Notamacropus eugenii: one gene and its partners. The protein of the gene in region 2 interacts with the protein of the main gene of each other region in a biochemical or structural test. Links are inferred from orthologs where the notes say so. Each region holds a gene or a part of one and is shown on either strand. Other genes may lie near its edges. The genes, in order: DOK1, ABL1, ERBB4 and ATM.

Evidence for each region.
Region 1: the proteins of ABL1 (region 2) and DOK1 form a complex in vitro, tested with the Homo sapiens proteins (5 studies listed by BioGRID, with this or other methods). The link is inferred for Notamacropus eugenii from reciprocal best matches to the Homo sapiens genes ABL1 and DOK1.
Region 3: the proteins of ABL1 (region 2) and ERBB4 form a complex in vitro, tested with the Homo sapiens proteins (2 studies listed by BioGRID and IntAct, with this or other methods). The link is inferred for Notamacropus eugenii from reciprocal best matches to the Homo sapiens genes ABL1 and ERBB4.
Region 4: of the proteins of ABL1 (region 2) and ATM, one has a biochemical effect on the other in vitro, tested with the Homo sapiens proteins (3 studies listed by BioGRID and IntAct, with this or other methods). The link is inferred for Notamacropus eugenii from reciprocal best matches to the Homo sapiens genes ABL1 and ATM.

The regions. Positions count from the first base shown.
Region 1 is NC_092877.1:46,851,230-46,858,431, reverse strand, and holds the start of DOK1 (docking protein 1), read right to left. Parts: upstream 2,961-7,202; coding exon 2,886-2,960; intron 2,093-2,885; coding exon 1,793-2,092; intron 1,639-1,792; coding exon 1,545-1,638; intron 1,292-1,544; coding exon 1,107-1,291; intron 919-1,106; coding exon 127-918; 3' UTR 1-126. Other genes in the region: LOXL3 (lysyl oxidase homolog 3), read left to right, coding at 5,584-5,902. UniProt on the Homo sapiens protein: DOK proteins are enzymatically inert adaptor or scaffolding proteins. They provide a docking platform for the assembly of multimolecular signaling complexes. DOK1 appears to be a negative regulator of the insulin signaling pathway.
Region 2 is NC_092872.1:482,395,649-482,402,564, reverse strand, and holds the start of ABL1 (tyrosine-protein kinase ABL1), read right to left. Parts: upstream 3,015-6,916; coding exon 2,879-3,014; intron 1-2,878. Other genes in the region: uncharacterized protein, read right to left, coding at 3,696-3,827. UniProt on the Homo sapiens protein: Non-receptor tyrosine-protein kinase that plays a role in many key processes linked to cell growth and survival such as cytoskeleton remodeling in response to extracellular stimuli, cell motility and adhesion, receptor endocytosis, autophagy, DNA damage response and apoptosis.
Region 3 is NC_092877.1:310,178,189-310,185,081, forward strand, and holds the start of ERBB4 (receptor tyrosine-protein kinase erbB-4), read right to left. Parts: upstream 3,023-6,893; 5' UTR 2,240-3,022; coding exon 2,158-2,239; intron 1-2,157. UniProt on the Homo sapiens protein: Tyrosine-protein kinase that plays an essential role as cell surface receptor for neuregulins and EGF family members and regulates development of the heart, the central nervous system and the mammary gland, gene transcription, cell proliferation, differentiation, migration and apoptosis.
Region 4 is NC_092876.1:146,774,880-146,782,018, reverse strand, and holds the start of ATM (serine-protein kinase ATM), read left to right. Parts: upstream 1-4,132; 5' UTR 4,133-4,283; exon of another isoform or gene 4,284-4,392; intron 4,393-7,139.

The DNA of each region.
Region 1 (7,202 bases), on a different chromosome or scaffold from region 2:
CTGCTTTTCTGAGGTCTGGACCTTGATTCACTGATACCCTTTAGCCTCAAATAGGCCTCCCCTTTCTCGGGGGGATCACTCATCTCCCCAGCACCCACGTAGGCCCTCCAAGCCTCACCCAGGTCTTTACATTGGCCCTTCTGATTTCATCCCAGTCCTGCTTTGAGATCCCCCTTCAGGCATGCCCTGGCCCCAGCCCTTGGCAGTAGCACCCTTCTGTACCCGGCTGTACACTGGGAGTGCGAGACTGCTGGGGCTGTTAGACCGGGGGAGCATTTGGGGCTTGGGGGGTGGAATGGGCTTGAGGTTCCTTGGAGGGGGCACAGCATAGTCGTCCATAGCAGGGTTATAGGGGAGCTCGTAGCCCTCCTCCCGAACCCGGGCTCGCTGGCACCAGGCATCCCTGGGCTCCTGGGGCTTGTCATAGAGGCCTGGAGCCGGGGCTGGGCTCTGGCCCTCAGGCTCATCATAAATAGGCTCCTTCTTGACTCTTCCCAGCCTTGTATCTTTAAGCTGCTGCTGCACCTGTTCAAACAAGCCCCAGTAGAGGGGGGAGCCTCCTCCAGCCCCATGTCCTGTCCTCTGGCCTGAACTGTCCACAGGATCTGAGTACAAGGGGTCTGAAGTGGAGTCAGGCAGCGACCGAAGGGCATCCAAGGGCTCTGAGTAGAGGGCAGGGCCATGAGCGTGGGGATCTTCAAGGCCCTGGGAGGCAGCCCCTGCTGTCCCCACCTCTGATGAGCCAGGCCACTGCTGATCCAGGCCTGCGCCGGTTCCAGAAACAATGCCAGCTTGAACCTTTTGCCTTTGGATGGCAGCCTCCACAGCCTGAAAGATGTCATTCCCTTGTGAAGTATGGAAAGTGAAGGTTCCAGGGCCTGAGGGGCATCTCCGTCCAGCCTCGAAGGAGAACATGGCCTGGAGGCAGACGAAGAGGGCAGAGGTGAGCAAACTTATGCACAGGAGAGAAGAGGCTTACCTGAGGTCATCCTAGCAGCAGTCAGCTCTTGGGCCTTAGGGGACCCACCACACACTCCTAGCCTTCCCCTCTGTATATCCTCTGCTTCCTTCTATAGTGGCACCTCTGACCCATCCCAAGCCCTTACCCGATCCCGGCCATATCGACGGAGAAGAGTATAGGGCCAGGTGAGCAGGGGCTCCTTCTTCTGACCCTGCCCCCCCAGCACCAGCAGACTCAGACCATTGGCCTCCACCCTGAGCAGGTAGTGTCCCTGCAGCCCACAATGCTCAGATGCCTCTGTTTTCTGTACAGTCACCCAGAACTCAGACCCTGGGGAGAGAGGAAGGGTCACACTGAAACATTCCCAGATGGAAAAGGGGAAAGACACTCAGGTCCTAACAGGGACTGGATCATACCTAGACACCAGACCCACAAGAGCTTCACGCCCCCTCCCCCCAATCCTCCAGGTGACCTTCAGCCCCATGTGAGGGCTGTGGAATCCCTATTCCAGACCCATGGTATGCCCTCTCTTCTCATGTCCCTGGACCTCCCTCTCCCCATCCCTTTCTCCTTTTACCCCTACCTTGCCCATGGGGGCTGTACAGGGAGTTCTCCTGCATCTCCATTGAAGAGGGCCCCGAAGAGCTTTCACCAGGAGCCAGAGACCAGCAGCCTTTCTGCAGGGGAGAAAGCATCAGTGTTTTCCACCTGGGGTCTGAGTCCAATCAAGTTGGGGAGTGGGGGGGAGGAGACACTGACTCCGACCTTGAACCTGCTCCCTCACCAAATGGACTCCCCTAGACAGCATCCCCAATCATTCAACCCTCTCACCGGAAAGGCAGTCTGGCAGAGCATTTGCACCCAGGCAACACTGGCAGGGCCCTCAGCTGCCAGGAAATGGGAGCGCTGAGCAGTGTCCAGTCGGAAGACCGATGTGCCAGGTCCTGGGGGGCTGTCCAAGGCCACCGGGGCCACACTCACGCAGTCCGACAAACGAATCACTCGGCAGTCTAGGCGGCGAGAGCCTCCCCACCCGCCTCCAGAGCCTGACCCTTTGTGCTCAAAGAACTCAAGCCGGGCAACTCCGCTGGCACTGGAGGGGTACAAGGCTGCCCAGGCCTTCTTCCACTTCTATAGTGGGGAGAACGTGGGGAATGCTTTGAGAAGCCATTTGGGAAGAGGAGAGCATGGGGAAGGTACGGAGGAGGGTCATGGGATGCCCGGGACTTAGCTCTACCTTTGGGACGAGGGAGGGTGGAGGTCAGCGTACAGAGATCACGGAGAGGAAGAGATACAAGGAAATACTACGGGAAGGCCCTGGGAAAAAGGGATGTGGACATACTGAAGGAGAGGGAAGTTAGGGGAACTGGCTCTCCGTATAACACAGCAGCCTCATCTTCCTACCCGTTTGGGCAGAAACCCTGGTGAAGAGATACGTGAACACGCAGGGAAAACCAGGAAATGAGAGAGAAATGAAGGGACGAGACGGGCTGAACATGCAGGCTCGCCCTGCATCACCCTTCCTCTACGGGGGCAGGCAAGGGAACCCCATACAGAAGGTGGGGGGGCGGGAGGGCTGAGGGCAATGACAGGGGCCATGACTGGCACAGGTCTCCAACTTCGGAGGGAGGCCTCCCGCAAAGACCCCAGGCCAGGAGCTGAGGATCCGAGCCCTGCCCCAGCCGCCCCCCAATCCTGGGAGAGGTGGGGTTTCCTAAAGGAGGCGGAGCTCCCTGGTGGGGGTGGGCGCATTTCCGTCCCGCCGAGGCTAGAGGAAGCGTGGTGGGGCTGGCACTTCCTCCGGAGTTTGGGGAGAAACTTCTCCGGGACCAGCCTCGGGCCCCGCTGCGGCCCTCCCGCTCCCAGCCCAGGGGCTCCCCGCAGGCCGCCGCCCCGCGGCCCCCGCCCCTGCCCCTGCCGCCACCTTGGCCCCGAAGCGCTGACTCTGCACGAAGAGCGGTCCCTCCATGGCAGCCCCGTCCATGGCGGCGCCGTCCATGGCCCCAGGCGGCTCCGGACGCTTCCTGGCGCTGCGGGGCGGGGGCGGGGCGGGGCCCGCGGGGCGGGGCGGGGCTGGGGGGAGGGATCACCCCCATCCCGAACCCCCAGCTCCCCGCCCCGAGTGCCCGAGCCGGCCTCCGGGCTTCCTGCGGGACCCGGAGACGGGGACTGGACGGGAGCCGCCGGGGCGGCCAACATTCCTGCGGCCGGCCGGCCCCGACGCCCGGAAAGGAAAGAAGTGGGAGGACTCGGGAGACCCACCCTGCCTCCCCACACGCACGCCCGGCACAGTCAGCACACGCTCAGCCTCCTCCTCCTGCGGTGCCTACTGGGTGCAAGACCCGGGGCACCACGCCTCTGCACCGCAGGCTCGAGCCCCAGCAGGGAGGCTCCCTCGGGGCAGGTTCCCGGCCCGGGACGGCGAGGACAGCTCCGCTGCCTCGCAGAGCTTCCCCTCCATCGTCCGCAAGTCAGACCCAGGCGTGTGTCAGGCTCCGCAGGCGCAGCGCGCACGCAGTCCGTGCAGACAGACAGACAGACAGACACACACACACACACACACACACACACACACACACACACACACACACACACACACACACACACACACACACACGTGTTCAGGGTCCAAGCCAGCCCACACTCCACCGAAACCTCAGGGGGTGAGGGGTGGAAGAAGGCAGGGGCCTTGGGGGATGGGCAAAGGGGTGAAGTTCGAGAAATGAACACAGGCTTCTCCAAGTTCCAAGCCAGGGGCTTCGCCCAACACGGGCCCCCGGGTGTCCTCCAGCCTCAGCCAGCGGGGGAAGAAAGCCTCATTGAGCCGAGAGGCCAGGGGCGGAGGGGAGGAGGCGAGGCTGGGGCCTGCCTGGCCAGGGAGGGGGAGGGACAGACAGAGTGGAACGGTGGGAGGGATTGAGGGAGGGGCGTCCAGTCTCCCAGAGCCCGGCACTTTCTTGGAAGTCCCTGGGTTAGGCTCTGAGGCCGGGACTGGCTTCCCCCATCCCATTCCTTCGGACGCAACTTCCAGCGCAGAGGTACGGGCGCTTGGGGAGAGGGGAACAGAGCAGACAAGCAGGGGAATGAGGAATGAGGGGGGCTGGGAGGGTGGAGGGATGGATGATGGTCACTGGGAAAGAAGTGGGAGCACTGGAGGATGGGGGGCCAGGGGCCAGCGGGGAATGGGATTTACAAGGAAAATGTGAGGAAAATGGGAGTAGAGAGTTGGGTGTAGGACAACTAGGAGTGTGTGGGTAACAGTAATAGGGGATATAGGAGGGTGTAGGAAATAGGGGGACCCAGGTAATAAGGATGAAGAAACGAACAGGAGGGTGCTGGAGACGGGAAAGATCGGGGTGAACATAGGATGGGGGACACAGGGTATAGGGGGCTTGTGGGGGTGAAGATAACCGACACTTGAAGTTGTTTTATACTTTCTGTCATCGGCCAGTTCCCGGTTCTGTGAAAGAGTCGTTTGATGACCAGTGCAGGGGAAGTGGGAGAGACAGAAAGGGGTCCAGCCTGGCAGGGGGCAGAGAGTGTGGCAGCCAAGGGAGGGGATGAGAACCGTGTCTGAGGGTCGGACAGGGTAGGAGGCCAGCAGGGTGGAAAGGGAAAAAGAGGACAAGAGTCTGCTGGGAGTCTGGCCCAGAAAAGTCAAAGTTTCCATAGAGGACTGGAGGGAGAGTAGAGGAGAAGGCTAGAGCTGGGGTGGGGGTGGGGAGGGGGGATAGGGCAGGGTCCAGTTTGCTCCCACCAAAGGCTCCTTTGCAGGGGATAGAGATGCCAAACCCCAAAGTCAGCTGTTCCTATCCCATCCCCCCAGGGATTGGGCCTGTCTCTCTGGCCTAGTCTCTGTTGCCTCAGTAACCGCTTGGACCTTCACGCTCCCTCCTTTTCCTTCCCTCCCTCTCTCCCAGTGGCTCCCACTGCTCCGCCCCATCCCTCAACCCTGGTCCCTCTGGGTCCCCGTGTTCCCCTGGGACAGGTAACCAAGGAGCCTCAGTGTGTGACTGTCAAAGTGGCATCATCCAGGACCTTGTTTCCTGTGTCACTATCAACATAGAGGCTTATGACTTCTGGTGTGGGCAGCTGTGTGTGATCCATGCAGCTAAAATTATGTGTGCCTGCCTGGGACTCTGTGTGTGTGTGTGTGTGTGTGTGTGTGTGTGCGCGCGCGCGTGTGTGTGTGCATGTGTGTGTGTGTAACATAGTGTGAATTGTGTTTCTCTGAGCCTCTCTTGCACATGCTCTGATGAGCTTGCGTTTACTTCCCAGCTCTGAGCATAAAGGGCTGCTTTCTTAACCACTATTCCTCCTCCTCAATCAAGATTCAACAGAAACCTATCTCATTGACTTCTGTTTACCATTCTTACATCACTTTCATGCTGTGTCTCCTAATCAGTCTGTCATTCTTCATCTGTTGAGTTCACAGGTTATCTCCTTCCTTCCCTCCCTCACCTGTCTCTCTGCCTTACTGTGTCTCTATGTCTCTGTGTGTCATCAAAGGTGTTTTTGTCTCTCATTCTCTTAATTCAGGTCTCCATCTCTACCATATTGTCACTCTGTCTCTGTCACCATCTTGCTATCACTAAAGTCTGGGTTTCTATTTCTCTTAGACCATGTCTGACACACAGGTCGCCGGGGGCCAGCAGTGGGGCCTTCGGGGACTGCTTCTATGCATGTTATGTACCTGGTGCCTGGGAACCCCCTCTCCATCCCCAAGCCCTGCATCGAGCACTGGTAGCAAGCTTCGATTCCGCCTAGCTGGTTTTCCTCGGAAGCACTATGAGGGCCGTGTGGAAATACAACGGGCTGGCGAGTGGGGTACCATCTGTGATGATGACTTCACACTGCAAGCAGCTCATGTGCTGTGCCGGGAGCTGGGCTTTACCGAAGCCACGGGGTGGGCCCACAGTGCCAAGTATGGCCCAGGCACAGGTGAGAACAAGCACCAAGAAAGGCCACGGAACAGGGAAAAGGCACCAAGTCCGGCTGAGGGTGGAAGTTCAGAAAAACATGGAAAAAGATATAGTCTGCAGGCGATACAAAATCAGAAGTATTGGAGGCAGGGGAGGAAGGAGATGATTGATCATTGAGTTACTATATTGACAAAGTCCAAATCTAAAAAAATATATGATTGGACCAAATCTAATATATTGAAATGCAATAAATACATATGTAAAGTCAGGAATGGTTCAAAAAATCAACTGCACTTCCCCAACAGGCATGAACAGATAAACTATTCTTAAATTGAGAATCTTCGGGATTTAGTGGACTGAGTGCAAGTTCTATATGTCAAGCAAAAAAGGTCAAGTGACTGAAGGCAGCGTCAATAGAGGCGGAGTGCCCAGAATGAGGAAGGAGGCATTAGTACCCTTGACCTCTGCTCTGGTCAGACCTTCCTTGGTATACTGTGTCCAGTTCTGGGCACCACACTTGAGGATATTGATAAGCACATCTAGAGGAAAAAAGAAACATACACAATAAAGAGAAACTGGGAATTGAAGGAACATAGTACTCAGGCTAGAGAACATTATTCTAGAGTCAGATTCCACCTCTTATGAGCAAAGCGCAACCTCCTTGGACCTCACTTTCCCTATATGTAGAATAAGGTTGGAGTAGATGGTTTGACCTCTGAAGTTTCTTTGAATTCTAGGTTTATGATCCTAGGGAAAGAGAAGGCTTACTTATCAGGACATGGAAATAATCTAGAATCCTTAACAAGTGGTTATGCTGCTGCTTCTTGAACATTCCTGTGGACAGGAAACTCACTGTGGCATGAGGCAGCCCATCACGTTGCTAGACTGTTCTGATTGTTGGAAAATTATTTAGATGAGCCCCAATTTCATCCTATAACCTATTCCAATTTCAGAGGCTGCTGGCCATGAATATCTTCAACTGCCCTCCATTCCCTACCCCACCCCCCAATGATACCTCTGCTTTTCCAGTACTTAGGTCTCCTGTAACCCTAAAAACAAACAACTCTCCCTTTATCATGCCCCTCTTCTCAAAGCATGGTCCTATATCTCTCTCCTTCCCTTAATTGCACAACTTCTGGACCTCCTCTTGCTCAGCCCACTTAAATCTGACTTCTATCCCCACAACTACTTAGTGAGTCTCTCCAAGGTCATCACCAGTGACCTTTTCATTGCCAGACCCCAAAAGCCTTTGCTCAGTTCTCTTCTACCTTGACATTTCTGTGCTATGTGAGAGGCAGGATTGGATGTGGAGTCTGGAA
Region 2 (6,916 bases):
AAGATACAGTGTGCCCAACTGTGGCTGATCAGACCAATATGAGCTTGGAAGGCTCCACCACAGGACGGGCACAAATAGTCCACATGAACATCTCACATTTCTTTTGAACTACTGCAATTTTGCTTCAAAGTGCCCAGCACATTCTTTGATGTGAGCACACTACGTTGGGCAGTTCTGTGACAGCATCTCCATCTCACAATGGATTCCAAAGTTCTTCAGAGAGACCTTGAAAGTGTCCTTGCATCACTTCTCACCTTCATATGAGCACTTGACTCGTGTGAGTTCTCCATAAAACAGTCTTTTAGGCAAACATGGGTTTGGCATTCAAACAATATGACCAGCCAACTCTGCAGTAGAGTTTGAATGCTTAGAAGCTCAGCTTAAGAAAGGACCTCAGTGTCTGGTACCTTATCTTGTCAGGTGATCTTCAGAATCTTCCTAAGACAATTCAAACAGAAGCAATTCAGTTTCCTGGCATGGTGTCAACAGGCCATCCCAGTTTCACAGGCATACAACAATGAGGTCAGCACAACGGTTCAGCAGACCTTCAGTCTGACAGGCAGTCTAATACCTCTTCTCCCCAACACTTTCCTTCAGAACCTTCCAAGTACACAGCTAGCTCTGGCAATGGGTGTGTCAACCTCATCATCTATGTGTACATCCCTGGAAAGTATAGTGCCAAGGTAAAGTGAACTTATCCACAGCATTCAAAATTTCTCCATCTGCTATATTCAATTGTTCCATGGATGGATGGTGTGATGCTGGCTGGTGGAGAGCCTGTTTTCTTGGTGTAAATTGTTAGGCCAAAATTAGCACAAACAGCAGAGAATCAATCCATACTCTGTTTCAACTCAGCCTTAGAAACTGTATTGAGTCCGTAATCAAAATGGGTTACCAGTGTGTTCTAAGAAATAATAAAAGAGATAGTTTCATAGAAACCTGGGAAAACTTGCAAGAACTGAAGCAGAAGGAATAGGCAGAACTAAGACAACAGTTTAACAGTGAAGACAATACTGTAAAGACAAAGAACTTTGAAAGACTAGGAACTCTAACCAACAGAATGACCAACTATGACTTCCAGAGGACTCATGATGAAACATGCTCTCCACCTCCTTAACAAAGAGGTGATGGATTCAGAGTGCAGAATGACAGAGAGAGAGATAGAGAGAGAGAGAGAGAGAGATAGAGAGAGATAGAGAGAGAGAGAGAGAGAGAGAGAGAGAGAGAGAGAGAGAGAGAGAGAGAGAGAGAGACATGGCCAATGTGGAAATTTGTTTTGCTTGACTACAGATGTTTATAACATGTATAGTCAAGTTGTTTTCCTTAGTTACTCTTCTTTCTTTCTCAACCTGGGGAGAGGAGGGGAGAGGGAGAGGAGGATTTTTGTCAATTGAAAAAAGTACATATTTTAAAAAATAGGTGATCTAACAAAGTGATTCACTTTGTTATCACTTGTTACCAATGTATTTTAAAATGAACTTTTAAAGGGAGGGAGATGGTACAGAGGATGAGAGAGAAATCATAATGAGCAATTATTTTAAACATCATCAAATTTGTCTGTCAACTGAACTAAAATTTAATTTGATTTCAGGGCTTTTTCAAGAATCTTAAGAAGAATTAAAATTCAAGTTTCTAATTAGGTTACAGATTGAAGATTTGAAGTCATATTAATATCCTTAACATTACAATGAGAAATCTGAGACCCAGAGAGTTTAAATGACTAACAAGATAACATTGGGATTTGAACCAAGGTCCTTAGACTCCAAATTCACCACTCACTGAATCATACCATGCAGCTAAAAAATTTTCAGTACTCACAAGATTAGCTTATTTTCATCTCTTTTTCTTCACCTTGAATACATCTTGGCTAAAAAGGTCCTTGGACTAAATGGCCCCCAGGGAAATACTAACAACTTCATTAATCTGGGTCATGTTTACATTTCAATAGTCACGGGCAGTTACCAGTTTAAAAAGTTCAATACACTGAAGTTATTATTCCCACTTGGTAACTTGGATCCTTACTTGAACTTTACAAACATATTACTTAAAACACTTTAAGAATTTGATGACTAGGGCCCAGCATCACTAAATATTTTAATAATGATAGCCTACATCGTCACAAGACCTCACAAATACTATTCCTCATAACAGAATTATGAACAGAACCCTGAGTTCATAAGTTAAATAACTGTTCCCTGCTGAGAAGTATCAGTCTAAGTTGATTGTTTGCCTTGACTTAACCAAAAAGGCTTACTAGAAGCAAACTGTAAGTCCACACAGACAGTAGGACAACAAAATTACAATACATTAAAAATTCCAATGACAACTTTTCATAAATGTCATTTCAAACACACTGAAAAATCAGAAAAATATTATTAAGGGAAAACGATTGGCACTCATGTTAGATAAAAGAATTTATATTTGTCTGTTCATTCAACCAGCATTTAATAAGCACCTGTAAGTAACATGTGCAATTATCAATTACCAATTTATTGGTATTCAATTATCAATGAATCATAGATTCATAAAAAATGAACTAGACCTTAGCAATCATTTAGTACAATCCTCTCATTTTACAAAAAGAAATTGCGGCCCATATTTGGGAGAAATTATTTGCCCAATGTGACACAGCAAGCTATCTGAAGAGCAAGGGTAGAAAATAAATAAAACCATGAGATTTTGCATAACATTAAATCATAAAGAAATTTTTTCTCATACAAAGGGAGTCTAAGAGCCACCTAAAAGGAAAATATATGCTAGCTTTCTAAATTTTCAAATGGGATGTCTGAATCAGAAAAATCTGTTGTGCTCTAATTCTAGCATCCTAGCGAAGTCTATATGATAAACATTAATTTAAGCAATACTAATAAGCACTTACCATGTTCCACAAAAACATTGCAGTGTGGACCCCCATGCCTTGATGATTCCTTCTTCCCTGCTCCTTTGATAAAGTGCAGGGCAGGCAAACTTGGCCTTCTCTGGTCCCCAAGGACTTTTCCAGGCTGCTGCCCCATAAAGGAACTATAGACAACCTTTCCCAGAAAAAGAGGGTTTCAGATCTTCCAGACTGGTCCAATAGCTTAGAATGACAATAGTATAATTTGGGTTTCACATTCACATTCCAGAGAGATCACTTACTGAAGTCAATCACAAGAGAATTCTCCCAAAACCAAGTGTAAAAAATGCTTCTTAGTCCGCTCAGGCAAAGAGGAGCTCCAATTTTACAGTTTTTTATCAGTTTGAACGATACAACTATAATGTTATCAGTGTCAATTGATTTGGACGTCTTTTACTTGAACAGGAATTAGTTTCTTTCCAAAAGTGAAGCCATTTAAAAATATATTCACAAGGAATGTACTTTTCCCACTGCAATTTTTGCATTCCTCTTGAGAATAAAGTATTTGCATGGACTATTACTTAAGTCTAAAAGGGTCAGGTATGCCAATGTCATTTTAGATTTCAAAACAAAGACAAAAGTGTAGCTGTTTCTGGGTCTCTACTTCTCAGAAAAAAATCAGGAATGGTCTTTGACAGAAGGATCTGGATACCGGCTCTGAAACTTTTCCTGTGGAAGTCGCCCAAACCCTATCTCGGTTTCTTCATCTTTGACCGATTTCCTGCCAATCTGGCTGCTACTTCTCTCCGGAAAACTGAGCTGGGTCACCCAGACTTCACAAGTAGATTTACACGAGCAGTCAGTCACTCCAGGAATGCATTGCCAGCAATTTTAAGTCAGCTTTTTTAAAGGGCCTGTGGAACCAACCCAGGCTTTTCCTTTGCATTAAAGTCTGGGGCAGTCCAGAGCCTACTAAGGCCTTTGGTGACATAGAAAAAGACTAAGGGCATTGGAGGTTGGCAAGACTGGAGGGGGAAGGGAGAGAGGGAGGAAAGGAAAGCAAAGGGATGAGGAAGAGTGTTTGAATGGGTGGCACGGGAGAGAAGCTGAACCTGGGACAGAAAGGAAAACTTGGCAGCCTATTGGGGAAGGGACAGAAGGGGGGAAGGGGAGAGAGATGAGTGGCAGAGTTGGGGAACCTTTGAAAAAAAGGAGTGGAACAGGAGAGAGTATGGGGGAGCAGAGGGGTCGGCGGGGGAAGGAAGAAGGCTGGTTCTCTCGCTCACAACCGTCTCCCGCAGGGGAGCAATCGGCGGAGGAGCTCCGGGCAGAGGGTACGACCCTGCTGGAGAGTCCTGCCTCCCCCGACACCCCAAAAGCCAGGGTCCGGAAGGAGTCACCGAGATGCCCGTGGGGCAGGCGGGGAGGGGGGAGGGGAGGAGCTGCCCAGTCCTCGAGGTGGAGAAGTAAGAAACTCGGCCCGGAGACACCCGCCGCCCCCGGCCCGACGGTCCTTCCTCCCTCGGGTCCCCCACCCCAGCCAATGGTCAGTCAATCATATCCCGGAGCTCCCGAGCGTCCGCCCGCTCCCTCCCTGCCAACCTGCCTCCCCTTCTGCCTGCCTCACTCTGCCTCTCTCTCTCTGTCTCTCCCCCTCCCAGCTGGGGCGCGGGGCTGCAGCGGCGGGGGCGGAGGCCGGGGGCCGGGCAGGGGGCGCCTTAGCTGCGGGTACACGGCCACCGGCTCCGGCGCTGCTGCTCAGGGAAAGACACCAACCCCCTCGGCCGCCATGATGGATTACAACCCGCTCCACAACGAGGCTGAGCCCCGCCCCGGGCTCCCCGCGCCCCGCCCCTCTTGGCCCCGCCCGCCGCAGGCACGTACGGGACGTAGCGGAAGCAGTAGGAGGAGAGAAGAGTGGGGCGGGGCGCACGCCCCAGGGGAGTCGTTTTGAGCGCGGGGGCTGGGGAGCTGGGGAGGAGTGTTAGTTCTTTTAATGGACGTTCTCCTTTATATGAGTAAGCCACATTTTCGAGTCCCAATCCTGGTGTCTCGACGAGTTTAGACAGGAACAATTAAAACCGCACCGTTTTTTGGTCGTTTTTTTTCTTCCAAGCAAGAAGGAAACGCCCGCCTGTTTTTATTGGTCTCGGACAAATCAGGTCGGGACAAAGCTTCCTTCTCCATTGGCTGGTGAACCTGTTAGTGCTGAAGTTGTTAGCCAATCGCCTTGGGTACCGTCCTGAAGGCCGCCGGGAGCTGTAGTTTTTCCGTGACTCCCTCCCGTCCGCTAGGCCATCTGAGACTTGTGCACTCTTCTTCCAACCGGTTCTTCAGTCCCTCCCTCTAGGGATTCTGCGGGATCCCAGGCCCCTTGGAGAGCAGGCACGAGTCCTCCCAGCGAGAGTGCCCTAGCAGGCGGATGTAGAGCGAAACACAAACTACGGACGGGATTTTCTCAGGGCTGGAGTAGGGTTTCTTCCCTGAGATACCTAGGGGATCCACCTGTACGCCACGCGTCTGCCACTAGCCATGTAGCTACGTCTGTTCCTTTCCAGCCTTTGTGGCTTCCTATTCAAGAACTGAAGCACTGGGGCTGTGGAAGGAAAACTATGATATGTTTGTTGACCCAATAAGAAACACACAGGCTCGTACTGGAGTTTTTTTCCTTATTTACAGATGTTAGGTGGTTTATACGACAAATATTAGAGCACGCAGGTGAGAGATCACACCTGAGGACAAAGTCACCTAACTGCTTTATGACCTTGTGCAGGTCGAAAGGGTCGAAGAGGTGGGAGGCAATTCAAGATGGGGGAGGGGGGTCATCCTTTCCTGGCCCCATCTCCGCCACCTAGAGCCCTTTGAAACGTCCACAGGAGGGATGGTCAGTCCGGGGCTTTGCCCAAGATGTACCCGGTGTCCAGTACGCTCTCTCCTTCCTCCTTCACCTCGTGGCATTCCTACCAGGCTCCTTCAGAAGGGCAGAGCTCAAGGGCTACTTCCTACAGGGCTCTTCCTGACCTCCCCAGTTCTTACTCTCCTATCCAAAACAAAACAACAACCCCCACCAACTTTGTAATTGTTTTGTATAGATGTAATACGTATCTATGTAAAAACTGCTTCCCATTAGTAGGATGCAAATGCTTGGCACACAGCAGGCACTTGATAAATGGTTATTTAATGTCATTTCTTTCACTCGCCTGTTTCCCCATTTGTAAAATGACTGGGCTGCTCTAAATGATCTCCTGAGCTCTCTTCCATATTGAAAAGCTCCTTCCAGTTGTAAAATTCTGATGTTTCTCAGGTTTACATGGGGCATGGGGAAGGAGCAGAAGAACCTTCAACTCTAACTAACCATGGACACATCACAGGATTGAAAGCTGGAAAGGCACTTCGTTATCTCATTCACCACCTTCATGTAGAGGAGAAAACTGAGGCCTGAAGTTAGACTTGCTCAAGGTCACACAGATAATAAAAAAGGAAATCTGGGCTTTGGAGTCACATCTTCTGACTTCAAATCTACTACACTACTTAACTTCCCTTCAAATTCCATTTTACAAGTTAATCTGCAAAATATCTAGGGTAATTAATTGGGTTTCTAGTTTTGCTTGTTCAGCAGGTTTAGTCCAAAATCTTTAAGAACGTCAAGGGGCATCTTAATTTTTAAGAAAAGCATAACATGTAGATTAAGGATGGTCAGTGACTATGAAACAAAAAGACAGACTTTTAGTTCAGAATATATTCTGGGATGACATAGAATGCAATTGAAAAGCACTCATGTTTTTTCCCAGGTATTGTTATCCCTTCTACATCACGACTTTCCCCATCGAGGTTTTGATATAAGTCAACATAAGAAATTAAATGGGAATTTGGGGGGAGTTTTGCTGAAGCTGCAGATGACACAAGGCCGGCAGAATGACACAGAAAAAGTTTAGAAACTCAAAATGCATAAAATACATGTATAGTATTATATAATATCAACCCAAATTTTATAATAAGGTACTATAAACACCCCATAAAAGAAAAAATTCATACTTCTTCTCTGGTATGGAGAGCCAAAAAATTTTATTAGAATTTTCC
Region 3 (6,893 bases), on a different chromosome or scaffold from region 2:
ATCACCAGAATTTCAAGTGCATAGTCACCGCCCGAATAACAATGGGACTCAAAGCCTCACACTCCAGAAAGAACTCACTTTGGGTTATGACAATTCGCCAAAGGCTGGGGGGGGGGGGGGGGGGGGGAGTAGAAGTGCTGTGCACTGCGATGAGGAAGAGGACAGCTGCAGAACTAATTTGGATTACATTCCTTACAGAAATTCTGAAAAGAGCTTTGAGGAAGAGCTCAACCCCTGAGCCGCACACTTAATACCAAATTGCTGTAGACTCCGAGGCGGTCCCCATGGCTGAGGCTGAACCAGACAAACCCCCACTAGGCTGCCTCATAGAAATTCCTATCAGCTAAGCATATATGTCAGCCTCAAGTGCTTTTGAATGGGTCAACCTGCATAATCAACTCATTGAGGAAAATATGGAGAGGATCGTGGGACGAAGACGAAAGGCCAGTGGCCAGGAGGCTGCCTTGAAATCTGCAAGCCGCACTGGGGTGATTCCGAGGCTGATCTGAAGGCAGGCTTTGGCAGTACTTAACACAGCATATAAAAGGCAAAGACCAGGAATTCTAGTATCATTTTTAAAGCCCCAGTGATGATAACTGGGTGTTTGCTTGAAGAAGAGGGAAGGAGAAGGCTGGAGTGGAGAGGAGAGGGAGGAGAGATAGCTGGCGTAGGGAGTAAGAAAACTAAGCGGCGTCTTTTCTGCTTAAGGTCACAAGGACACCATAGGCGTCCCTAAAGCATTCTCCTTAACCCCTCCCCTTCTTCCTACCCCTGAAGCTTTATCTTGTCAGCCAGCCTCCCACGCTACATCAAGTATCTCTGGTGTGATCACTTGCTGCCAGATCAGGAAACAGCACCGGCTGTCCAAATGGCACCCTCTGGCCATCTCAGACATCTCTCTTTCCTTTTGGCTACACTCAGTCCCCTGATCAGCCATCTCCTCGTTCCCATTCCTATCATCTGGGAAGCTCAAGTGTCAGAAACTTTTAGCTCACTCGCACGACACGTCCTGTCAAAGACCCTGCCACTAAGCTCTCCCCCGACCCCTCCTCCTTTTCTGTTCAGTTACATTCGTGCGTCCTGCTACCTGAGGCTAAGCAGCCCAGCCAACAGCTAGCGCACCGTGGTGCCCGATTCGCCTCGGATTAGAAAGGATCAAGTGATGGGCGAGCTATCCGACCAGCCCCAATTCTAACAGGGAAGTTTGAGGGACCCTGGCCAATAGTAGACACTAGCAGGAGGAACTCTGATGGGCGTCTAACCTCACAGAGTGCGGCTGTTATTCTCGTGAATAAAGTTTGCCAAGCCCTTTGGCTGCTAGACCCTCTACCAGACACTCTCTCGACCCTACCGGGGGCTGTTAAAGAAAAGGGATCTAGATGGATTGTGAGTTTTAAGAGATCAGCTTCTGGTCAAAACAGGAAAGCGGGTGGTGTTAAGAAAACGATGCTTTTCTGGTAGCAGCTGTATGCTGTGACTGTCTCCGGACTATGTCTGAAATCTTGGCTATGTCAACACTCGGGTGACTTGTGTCAGAGCCCTATTCCTGCTTCTCTCCCCCACGCAGGTACAAAAGCGCACACGGACATAGACACATGAGGCGCTTTGGAATCAAAAGGCCAGGAGCTCCACAGAAGGAGCAAGGCAATGATCGATCCTTTTTCTTTTTCGCGCCGCGGAACAGCCAAAAAGTCCTATTTACTCCGTCTCTTTTCTTTCGGGGACGGAGGGGTGGAGAGGCAGGAGAGGTGGAAAAAAAGGGGAATTGTCTGCGCTGATTGGGATTTTCCGTGTGCGTCTTCTACGTCTTAGACAAGCAGGCTGAAAGAACTAAGCCTTCTGCTAACCCACAGAGCGAAAAAGAAGAGACTGGGGTGGGGGGGGGGGGAGGTGAGGGAGAGAGACGGAGGAGAAAGGGGTTACATAGTGATTTCCACGCACGCACTAGAAGGAGAGCAAAACCAAGCAAGTTGGAGGTGGAAATGATGCAGGGGGCGGCGATGAAACAAATTCGGATCAGCTTCTCCGAGACTGGAAACGATCTATCAATAGAGGCGGGAAGTGGGAGGGAGGGGAGACCACAAACACAAATCATCCAGACAGCAGCAGGTTCCACAGCTGGAGGGAGAGCGATAGAAAGCAGAGACTGCGACCCACCTGACTGAGAAGCTCCGGGCTGGGGGGTCCAGGCTACCACGAGAAGGCTCACACAGACCCACAGTCTCGAAGCCAGCTTCATTTTTTGGAAGTCTCAAATCCTTTGCCGACAATTACATGTCCAAATCGCATATCCCCTTATTGTATCCCTCAGATGGATGTGGATGGGCGAGAGTGGGTACTGGGAAGAGAGAAAGAGAGGTGCACAGTGTATTTGTGTGTGTGTGTGTGTGTGTGTGTGTGTATCTGTGCGCGCCGGCTATTCCAGGAATGGAGGTGAATGAGGGTGCGCGTGTTGTGTGTCAGCGCTGCTGCCGGTCCCAGTTGAGGTCCAACTGTGAGTAGATTTCCCCCAGTGATCGTCCTCTGTCTTGCACTCGCTCCTTCGGGTTGGTCAACAATAAAAAGAGAGAAGAAAAAAAGTTGCTCTCACCAAGGTGGTAGATTTCCTGCTTTTCGCTCTCTTGCAAGCACTGCTCTCTCCTCCTTTGGTGCTCCCTGTGCACACCCCCGGTGTGAGTCGGGGGAGGCTGGAGGAGAGCCCCTGGCGTCTCCCACGGCTCCGGCCGTCCCCTCCTCACCCCCGCTCCGGGCTCCTCAGACTTGTCCAGCGGCTGTAGGAGTTAAAGCCTCCGAGCGTCGATTCCAGCGCTCCCCCTTCTTTCGCAGAGGCAGCGGCCGCAGCGGTAACAGCAGCTTGGAGAAATTAGCAAGACTCCAAAAAAAAAAAAAAAAATGGAAGCGGGATTGGGGAGAGGGGAGTATGGGAGGGGGGGGCGTTGTGAGAAAGGAAAACCCTCCACGGAACGAGGGACTGAGAGACAGACACAGCTTGGTGGCTTAAACCCCGCCTCTGCTCTGACCCAGCTAGCCACACCCCTTCTCCCATTCCACCCCCCCTCCCCAAATCTAAAATCTCATTGGCTCAGCCACTCCCCAAAATCCTGAGCCTCCAGAGTTGGGAGAACACCTGTCAGGAGAATGAAAGGGGTGGCGTGGGCGGGGGAGGGGAGCTGGTCTTAAAGGGCTAGTGCCAACTGTGAGGTTAAGACACTCCTCTTCCCGCCCCCCGCTTCTCCACCCCCCCGTCGCCCCCCCCCGCCCCAGCCAGAGTCCCAGGACAGCTGGCAGGCAGTGCTGGGCAGTATGCCCAGAGGGGGTGCTTAGATGGGGAAAAGGCCCCGATTGCCCCCATGGTGGTCTGAAGGGACGCTGCCTTGCCTCTCCCTCTTCCCCAGAAAGAGAAACAAGGCCAAAGCTCAAAAGCAGACTGCAAAAAGGGATTCTCAGAAGGAAAAAAAAATAAGTTGTGTCTCCCCCTTCCTCAACTTCACTCCGCTCAAAAATAATAATAATTCAAGGGCTAGCACACATAGCCCTCTTTCCAAAGAGGTGAGACCAAGAGAAAGGAGTCTTGGCAGAATAAAAAAGTCTTGCTTACAAGAAAGGGAAAAAATCCTCCTCCTCTCACACTGGCGAGTCCTTCTCTATCATTTAACCATGGCTCCGAGGCTCCGGAAAGGAGCAAGCTGTGAGCTAGAACCATAGCTCTGACCACAATCCAAGAGAACAATGCCAGGTATCACTTGCTAATATCCAGTCATCATCCTTTTATCCTTCACACTCCCAGAGAGCAGGCCTCCGCCCCTAGAAACTTTTCCACATTGAGTTCTGGCTGAAGAACTGAGATAGAGGCATAAATGCAGCCAATTCAAGGAAATTATTCTGGGACAGTGAGAAGATCTCATCTACTCCAACTAGGGAAATAACTATGGCAGAATGGGAAGGGTATTTTTCAGGCAAAAAAAGAAAAATGGAGTTATCTCCTGGCTTGGCCATTAGATAACTTTATGACCTTGGATAAGTCACTTAGCTACTCTTAGTTTTGACCTCCTGGTCTATAAAATGAGGGAACTGGGCCAGCCCTGAAATTTTATGAATCTTTTAACTTTATAGATCCACTTTCCGTGGCTCGCTATGCCAATTTGAAGGTAATCCAGAGTGTGATTTCAAGTCCAGAGAGTGCCTTTCAATCCCAAATGGTAGTCAGCCTACATCACTCATGTCTTCAAGTAATTTGGTCAATACAGAATTGAGTCTCACACATATCCAATGACTCATCCAAAAGATCCATTTGCACAAGAAGCCCATCTTGGAAATAAACTAACTACCAAGGTCCACTCCAGGATCAACCTAATTCCTCAAGGGTCCTTTATTTATTGTGGTAGTGAATTCAATCAGTGGCCAGTACTTGACCCCACATGAGCTGGGTCAACCTGACTCTCAAGTTTGAAAGGTGATATGGTGATATTTGTACAATTATCCCTGAGATAAAAATATTTTCACTGTTGGTTTTCCTTGAAAGTAACAGCAGCGAGAAGCAAGAACTGCTGGAGTCAACACCACCATGCCCCCCCCCCCCCCCTGCCAACTCCGTTTCTTATTTCACCTGAAGTACTTCCCCTTTCTTTCCTAGGCTTTGTCACTTAAGAACATCAGCAGAGGCTTGGGTCAAATAAATATGGAATAAATACCCCAGAGACCCTTTATAGAGCTGGAAGATTTTACTGCCTTGCGTGTACAAGTGGCAGTACTTTGGAAGGGGGATTGCTGTGTTGTTGTGTTGTTGTTGCTGCTGCTACTGTTAGTTTCTGAGTCAACCTCCGATCCCCAGGACTTTAAATGAATACAGCTTGAGAGAGATGAAAGGGACCCTGGTAAACCGGCACAGGTAAAGCAACCTCTCAGACTGGATATTAGATAGGAGCAATCAGAGGCACTGATTGCAATGGGACTGTGTAAGCTGCCTTTTCGGCTGTCATTTTTGTTCCAATTTTTGTCTGCCCCTCTCTTCTTTTTTTTTTTTTCAGCTACTTTCTTCTCTTCCAACATTCTTTCCTCTTTTGATGAATAATAATAAGTAACAATATCAAGTCACATTCCCATAGTGATTTATTTATGCCTTACAAAGTCAAGTTTTGAACCTCACTGCAGCCCAATGAGATATTAGTGCAGTCACTGTCACCCTGATTTTACAGATGAAACCAAGGTTCTGCCAAGATATGTGACTTGTTCAAGTAGATGGGGCTTGTGGGTAGCAGGGCTGGGATTCGAAACCATTTGTGAATCCAGAATTTGATGCTCTTCTAGCATACCACAGCTGCCTCAAAAAAATTGCTTGTTTCTATAGTTCTTTGAAGATTATAAAACACTTTCATCACAACATCTTAAGAAAATATTATCATTCTCTTTTTTAAAAAATGAGGAAACTGAGATTCAGGGAGGTTAATTGACTTTTCCACAGTAACACAAAGAGTCCCAAAGTCAAGACATCTAATGCTAAGTGCAGGATTCTTTTGGGGCAAGGTGCTGAACCTCTCTGGGTCTCAGTTTCCTCACCTGTAAATGGGGATAATAATAGTACCTACCTCACAGGGTTTTTGTGGACTTCAGAAGAACTGACATGCTTTTCACTTTGCAAATCTTAAAAGCACTACAGAAATGCTACTTGTTGTCTCCGTTTTTTATTATTCTTATTACACCACACTAGCTCACGTAGACTGGGTCTTTAAGCTTTACAATCTGTACTACATTAGCCTTTAATTATATTCAGTCCTGTATTGTTATCTAATCATTTCAGTTTTATTCTGATTCCTACTCTCCAGTTTGGAAATTTCTGAGTAGTACAAACTATATCCTATACATTTTTTACTTCTTTTGAAGACTCTAGAGCAGCCATAACATATAGATGTTCAGTTCTTATTTGCTGATTAAAAATCTTGTCCATCTTCCTGTGTACATAGGTACAATGGTCTTGGGGTGATATAGAAGAAAAGCAAGGCAGAGTTCATGCAGGTCACTTTCCAGCCCTGAAGTTCGTGGTGATGGAAACTGGGGACAAAACCCTCCCCCTACTGGAGGAAGGTGAAATTGGTACTCATGTCTTGGTGAGGAGAAAGTGGAGAGAAAAATGACCCAATAATCCTTTCCCAAGTTGTTTCTTCCTCTCTGATGTCATGTATCAGACATGACTGTTCTCAAGTTTTCCTGTTTCTCCTAACCTAAGTGATAATCCTCAGAGATGACTTTGTACTAGATTCATTTGTTCATTGAAATGTATTGAGTGCATTGTTGTTTTTCAGTCATTCAGTCAAGTACAGCTCTCCATGACCTGGTGGACCATATTATCTGTGGGATTTTCTTGGCAAGGATATTGAAGTGGTTTGCCATTTCCGTCTCCCATATTAAGTGTGTACCACATGTAAGTCACTGTGCCTGGGTTAAAAGAGATTCAAAGATGAATAAGACAAAACCCCTAACCCTAAGAAATTTATAACATAATAGGAAATGATAAGACATATACATATATGTATACATGTACGTATATGTGTGTATGTTATACTCAAATAAATACAATACAAAGTAGAGACAGATAAAATATAAAAGAGATTCAAAATGCTCTAAGAGATACCAGTAGAAGAAGTTCTACCTACATGGTAGGGTATCAGGAAAGGACTCTTGGAGAAAGTGACATTTAAACTGGACTTTGAAGTGTTGGTAAAATGTCAATAGGCAAAAATGGAAGGGAAAACATTCCAAGTTAGGAGATAGTGGGGGTCATGGAACGATAGCTTGAAAACACAGGACACAAGCTGAAAAATCCAATTTAGCTAGAGAATAGATTATGGGAAAGGGAGTGGTAAATGATATGGCAGGAGAAGTAAATTGGATTCAGA
Region 4 (7,139 bases), on a different chromosome or scaffold from region 2:
TTGATATTTCAAACCAACTGGCCCAGAGACATCTCAAAATCAACATGGAATCTAAAACTCAACTCATTAGGAAAGTTTCCCAGTTTCTGTGGAAAGCATCTTTCCTTTCAATTTCTGAGGTTTGTAATCTTAACATTGTTTTGAACTCCTCATTCGCTCTTTCTCACCCTACATACTCAAGCAGTAGCCAAATCTTGCTATTTCTACCTTTGCAATAGCACTCCAATCTCATCCCTTCTCTCCACTCACACAGGCACTAACTTATTCAAGCCTTCATCATCTCTTGTTGCTTAAGTGTTCTCCTGCCTCTAGTCTTTCTCCACTCCACACACTACTGCCAAATTAATTTTCCTGAAGCAGATTTGACTGTGTGACTCCTCGATCAAATCTAGTGGCTTTTTAGAGTCTCTAGGATCAAATATAAACCTGTTTAGCTTTTAAAGCCTCATACACATTGGCCACAACTTGTTTTTCCAGTTTCAGTGGAAATTACAATTCCTCTCACACTTTGCAAATAAGTCAAACAGACCCCTTCCTCACAAATGGTCTCATCTCCCTGCCTTTATACTAGCAGTGTCTTCCTTTAAGATGTGGCTCAAGCACCATCTTCTGTATGAAGCATTTCCTCCCAATAGCCAGCGTCCTCCTTCCCAAACTACTTTGGATATATTCATTTATTCATTTTATATCTTCGCACTTAAGTGTTCTCCCTCTCTCGGTCTTTGTCCTCTTCCCCCCTCCACACACACACACACAGCGTGTCCCATTAGAATGTAATCTGATTCAGAGTAGGGACAGGTAAGGAATGTTTCATTCTTTGTACTTGCATCCCCAATGTCTGGATATAGTGATTGGCACACAGTAAGCCAAAATACTTATTGATATTTTCTCATTTTTATTCTTCTGTTCCTAGTTGACAAAGCTGTGGATGACTATGCAGTGGACAATTTAATGGTGAGTGAAAATAAGTCTGCAACATATTATCAAAGAAGAAATGCACAGAAAGAAAAGCATAAAAAGTATGGCTAAAAGAGAATACGGGTCATTCACCCATAGGGCAAGAGGAACAAGATAATTGAAGGACAGCATGTATGCTCCATTAGTACCCACACAATTTCAAGAGATCTAGCTAGGAGTGGTGGTGCCTGTCTGCTACTGAGGAGGCTGAAGTTAGTAGATTGCTTAAATTCATGAGTTCTGAGTTACGGTGTGCTAAGACTGATCAGTTGTCCTTACTAAGTACAACACCAAAATGGATCCTTACAGGGAAGCAGAATGCCAATGGAGAGGTGAAATGACCCAGGTTGGAAACAGAACGAGTCTAAACTCTTGTGCTGATCTGTGGTAGGACTGGGCCCATGAGTAGCTAGCTGCTGCACTTCCAGGCTGGGTGAGACTGGGAGAGCAAGACCTGCCCTCCACCCTGCTACAGAGATTTTGAAGGCTCCCAATACATTCAACAAATCATAGGATTTTAGAGTTTGACGGGACCTCAGCAGTCACTATTTTAATCTGTATCTAAAAAGGAATCCTTGCTACAATACGTTCAACAAATGGTTGTCCAGTCTGTTTAAAGACATTCAATGACAGGGAACCCATCATTTTCAGAGAAAACTATAATTGTTAATAAGTTTTCCCACCTGGTATCAAGTCTAAATGTGCCACTTTGCAATTTCTGCCCACTGTTCTTAATTCTGCTGCTTGGACACAAAGAGAATTGTGTTCTAAACCTCTCATCTCCTAATTCACCTAAACTGATCTCTATATGGCACGGACTCAAGTCCCTTCACTATCCTGGTCATCATCATTCTTTGGACACTCTTCAATTCATCAGTGTCCCTTCTGAACTCTGGCCCTCATAATCAAAGACATTACTCTAGATGTGGTATGAGTAGGGAAAGTATTCCTGAAAGCTATGCATATCCATGTTGACCCAAGATCACATTAACTTTTTTTGGTGCCTTTATCACACAATAGATACATATTGAGCTCATAGTTCACTAAAATCTCAGCTCTTTTTCAGGCCAAATTTGGCCTAATCATGCCCCCTGCATTTTGCATGGGTGAAAGTGATTTTTTTTGAGATAAGTAAAGAGTTTATTTACATTTACCCTAGTCAATTTCATTTCATTAGAGTTGGCCAAGGTTATCAGGATTCTGGGGTCTTTATTCTGTTATCCAAAGAGTTAGCTATCCCTCCCAGCTTTGTATTATCTGAAACTCTGATAAGCATGCTATCAAAGACCTCATCCAAGTCACCGACAAAAACTTTTACATGAGCAAAGAAGAACAAAGGACAGATCCCAGGGACACCCTACCAAGGACTTCCAAGAAGACCTCAAACCAATAAAGATTACTCTGACTATGGACATTTCAGCAATTCTCAATCACCCAACTGTATCACTGTCTACCTTGCATCTCTCCAGTTGTTTTTTCTTTTTTTAGCAGAAGTAGGATGAATAGGGAAGTACTAAGAAAGCACCTAGCTACCCTACTTGAGTTTAAGTCACTTGGTCCAGATAAACTATTTCCTATGATACTAAAAGCAGTAGCTATGATACCTGAGACATTGTCAGGATCTCTGAAAGATTATAGAGAAAAGGAAGGTGCCACAGGAATGGAGCACAAATACTGTCATAACGTTCAAAAAGGTATGTTTTCAAAGCGTAGACCAGTAAGCTTCAGTTTGGCAAAATTCAAGGAAGGATTACTACAGAGGCATCTAGAACATCTATAAAAAGAAAACATGCAAATACCAATGTGCAACGACCTATATACAGGACGAACTGGACATAACCAACAAAGAACAGGCATTAAAGGAAGTGAGATTTTTCGCCAGGTCTCAAAGGAAGTCGGGAGGCAGAGATGAGGGAGAGAATTCCAGGTATGAAGGGCAGCCAGTGAAAATGCCCCGAAAACACCGCATCTTATCAAAAACCCCATACAATATTAGTTTAAAAACCAGTTTAAAAATATGTCAAGTCTCTGTCACAGGCCCAGATTCTGAAAATATATGCGGCTCAAGCCTTAGCAACACAACTGTGGATACATTTTCAGAGAATATAAACACACACACACACACACACACACAAACTGAGCCACCAAACTGGAATGGCCCACCCCACCACGGCAACACAAGCTGGACAATGGAAGGAACCGAGTCATCCAAATGGAGGGCTGGAAACGAAGGCCCAATCTGCCTTTTCTCCTCGCCAGAAAACTGCAAAAATATAACGGTGGTGCCTCTAAAACGTGGAGCAGCGCCCGAGAGGCCGTGGGCCCGAGCCGGCCCAAAGCCTCCCGAAGGGGCTCCCAAGCCCGCGGCTCGGAACGCGACGTTGAGGACTCGGCAGGCGCTCCCCCCAGGAGGCGCTCCCCCCAGGAGGCCCTGGCCTGTGCTCGCCCCGCTCCAAGGCCGCCCAGCCCCGGCCCTGACGCGGATAACTGAGGGCAGGCAGGGAAGAGCCATCTCCTCCCCCACGTCAGGGTCCTCCCCGAGGCCGAGCCCTCACCTTCCCGCCTCGCCTCCCGTCGGGATGAGCGTCTGCTTCCTCGGGCACCCGTGGCAGGGGAGCCGCGCTACTCGACCCAAGGGGCCTGGGGCTGCCTTCGCCCCCAGGGCTAAGGAGAAGCCGGTCGCCGGTTGGGCTGGGAGGCAGTCTCCTCCGCCCACCCCACCTCCCCAAAGGTAAGCCGCAGAGCCGCAGACCAGCTCGGCTCGCCCCGAGGCTCCACTCACCCAACACTAGCCGGGCGACGTCGGACGGTAACAGCATGATCAGGCCTCTAGAAGGACTCTGAGACCCCAGGCACGTCTCAAAAACCTTCCGCGTAGCAACACCGAGACCGCATCTCTCGGTCCCTGCGGCGGCGTCAGCTGCTGCACCGAACCCGAGGCAACTCGTCCCGCCCCCTGGGTCCTCTGTAGCCAATCGCTCCTAGGAAGAAAGAAAGGCGCGGAAACGCGCCCCGCCCCAACCCTGACTGACAGGAACATCATTTCCGCTCAGGAATGAGGAAGGCGGGGCAGGAAATGGAGCTTGGGTGGTTACACGCCTGCGCAGCGCATCTTAATAAGGGGCTTGAGGGAGAATGGTCATTCTATTAAAACGTCGCGCCCTATTAGCGTACCGCTGCCTAGGAGAAAGGGGCGGGGAAAGGAGAGGATTAGTGGTACGCTTGCGCAGAGGGAGCCACGAAGGCTACGATCTCCCCGGATTCTCCCGCCATGGAAGGAGCCTGCGCACTGAGGGTTGTTTAAACCCGGAAGTGAGAGCTGTCGCGTGAGTGTGGAGCTTGTGAGCGGTCTGCCTGTGGGGAGAACAGGCTGGAAGGAGGAGAGAGGACCCAGACGGCCTTCCCTCTGGAGGCTGCGGCCTTCGGAGCCCTGCGGTAGGGGGCGAGGGAGAGCGCGTCCCGCTTCCGTGGGCTTTGGGATTCTGCTTCGGCATTCGCGGATCTGGGCGCCCTTTCCCCTTGTCCGCTCCGGCCACCACCGCCCGGGGATACCCCACTTCCCCGGGCCTGGACCCCGGGGCGGAGCGCTTTAAATCCCCAGGGAGGGGGCGGGGAGGGAGGCGCATCACCCCTTCCGCTCTTCCCCTTTCCCCTGCAGCCCTGAAGGCGAGCGCCGGCATTTCAATCTCTCTTTTCCCCATCCTCCTCTCTTGACTCTGGGTGGCTTCTGTTTGTCTTTGCTTCCCCCACCTGCCCATACCATTCAGCACCGAGCTGGAACAACCGTGGAATCCTGGACACCTGGTCTACCTGGCTGAAGCGGGTGCCCCCCATGTGACCCGTTACCTTGGGTACCTCCTCCTCCTCCTCTCTCCGGGAAGTGAGGGAGGGGCACTTTCCGAAATACCGAGTATTAATTACAGGGAGTTAAGCAGTTGCCAGTCACGATCCGTAAGAGTCCGGCTGTGAAGGAACCTTAGATGGGATCATGGAAACCTGGGGAGGTTAAGCGCTTTGTCTACGGCTAGACCGGGGTTAGTAATGGCAGCGAACGTTTGTAGAACACCACGTGCCAGGCGTGTGCTAAGGGCTTTACGGTGATCATATCTGACTCACGACCATCCCGGGAGGCGCTATTGGCGTCCCCGTTTTACAGGTGAGAAAGTTGAGGCCCCCAGGCTAAGTGACTTTCGGAGCGTAATGCAGCTGGATTTGAACTCAGATCTTGCAGATTAAAGGCTCCGTACTCTATCCACTTCATGGCCTTCTATGCCCATTGGAGTATGTCAGGATCCTCTCTCTTTTTACTATTAGGAGACAACCTGTTTTCCAGAGGTAGGGCTCAACAAGCAAGTTGTGCCCTGAACTTGGCATAAAAGCTTTTTATTTTTTTGAACAGACCTGCTGCGAATCAAATTTATCTCATTGCTGTTACCTCTCCATTGTTAGGGCTACAGCTTACTGCGAAGCCATTGGTCGTTTGTATTGAGATTTGTCCACATGAAGGGGGGAGTGTCCCCTAATAGAGGGGACCCTGCCACATGTATGTCTAGTTTCCTCCTCCAACAGGAAATCTCCAACAGAGTAAGGAAAACAATTTGCTTATAACCACTGTTAGCTCTTCGGTTTTATTTTACTTTATTTTTAGCATTAACTGTGGTTAACCTGTGTGAGCTCTCTAGTTTTGTTTTTAAGAGTTAACAAAGCTGCCATGACTGTTCATTTAGTCAGGGTTAACAAGTGTTAAGTTTTTATACCAAGATACCTAGATGTTATGTTTGCTCATTTTTTGGTGTATTGTTAGTCTTCTAGAATTTTAAGCCAAAATTCTTAGGAAGTTCAGCTCTACTTTTCAGTGAATAAATGAAAATACATTCATTAAACTCCTTATGTGCCAAGCTGTATGCTAATCCATGGGAATCAGATGCAAAAGGGAGACAGACCCTGTCCTCTTGGAGCTTATGTTCTAATGAGGGAATCCTCACATATAGGGTGGCAGCCAGGAAAGAGTAAAGTCAAAGGGGAGTAGAGCCTTAGGGCAATTGATTTTGCAGAAGTAGTTATAATGGTAGTTCTGTTAGGTTTACTTTTCCCAGAGCTAGAAGTGGAAATAGGGGAGAGAGGGGGTGGGGAAGGGGAGGAGGGCAGGAAGGTAGTAGTGAGGGGGAGTGTCCTATGCAATCACTTGGGCAAAAAGTTGTCTTGGTGGAGTGACTGGGGTGAGCCTGATGTAATGACCTCTCATTAATCAATAAGACCCCAGGGCAGGAGCCAGGGGTCCCTTGTGACTGTGGCTTTCTATGCAAATCAGAGGTGATTATCCTTGGACTTTGGGCTTACTCAATATGAATCATAAATAACTAACATTTAAAGATTTACTAAACTTTTCCCAAGACCTTTTGATCTAGATAATGAAATGATCATTATCCCCATTTTATGTATGGGGAACTGAAGTTCAGAAGTCACATAACTATTTAGTGGTGGGCCCATTATTTTAATTCATTTCTTCAGATTTCAGTTTTTTATTTTAAGAGGAAATAGGTAAAAAGAATGGGAAGGGTTTTCCTGAAAAATAATAGGTAGGACTTTATGGACCTTTTAAAATATTGGAAAAGCTGTTACATGTAGGATATTAATTTTTTTTTTTTATAATAACACATTCATGTACTTCTATAAGGAAAGGACTTTGTAGACCTGGAAACAATCTTGTAACGTAGGTAGTGCAAGTGTTATCCTCATTTTATCAATGAGAAAACTTGAGATTGGGGGGAGTGTGATTTGCAAATGGTTCATCAATCAGTATTTATTAATCTCCTTCTGTGTGCCAGACACTGGGGCTAGACTATACTGAGAATGCAAAGACATAATTGAAACACACTCTACCCTCAAAGAGCTTATATTCTGTGAGAAATACTACGTAAACATATCTACATGTAAGTAAACATATACAAAATAAATACAAGGTGGTAGTTGGAGGAGGGAAATCAGGAAAAGCTTCATGTAGAAATTGGTGCCTCGGTGGAGTTTTGAATGAAATAAGGGATTCTGAGCTAGAGATGAAAAAGGAGTGAATGCAAGGCTTGGAGTTCAGCCAGGGCAAAGAGATGAGGACAGGAGATGGAGTGTAGAATGCTAGAAAAGTAGTAATGTGTAACAGGGCCAAAAAAGTATAAGGAAGTCAG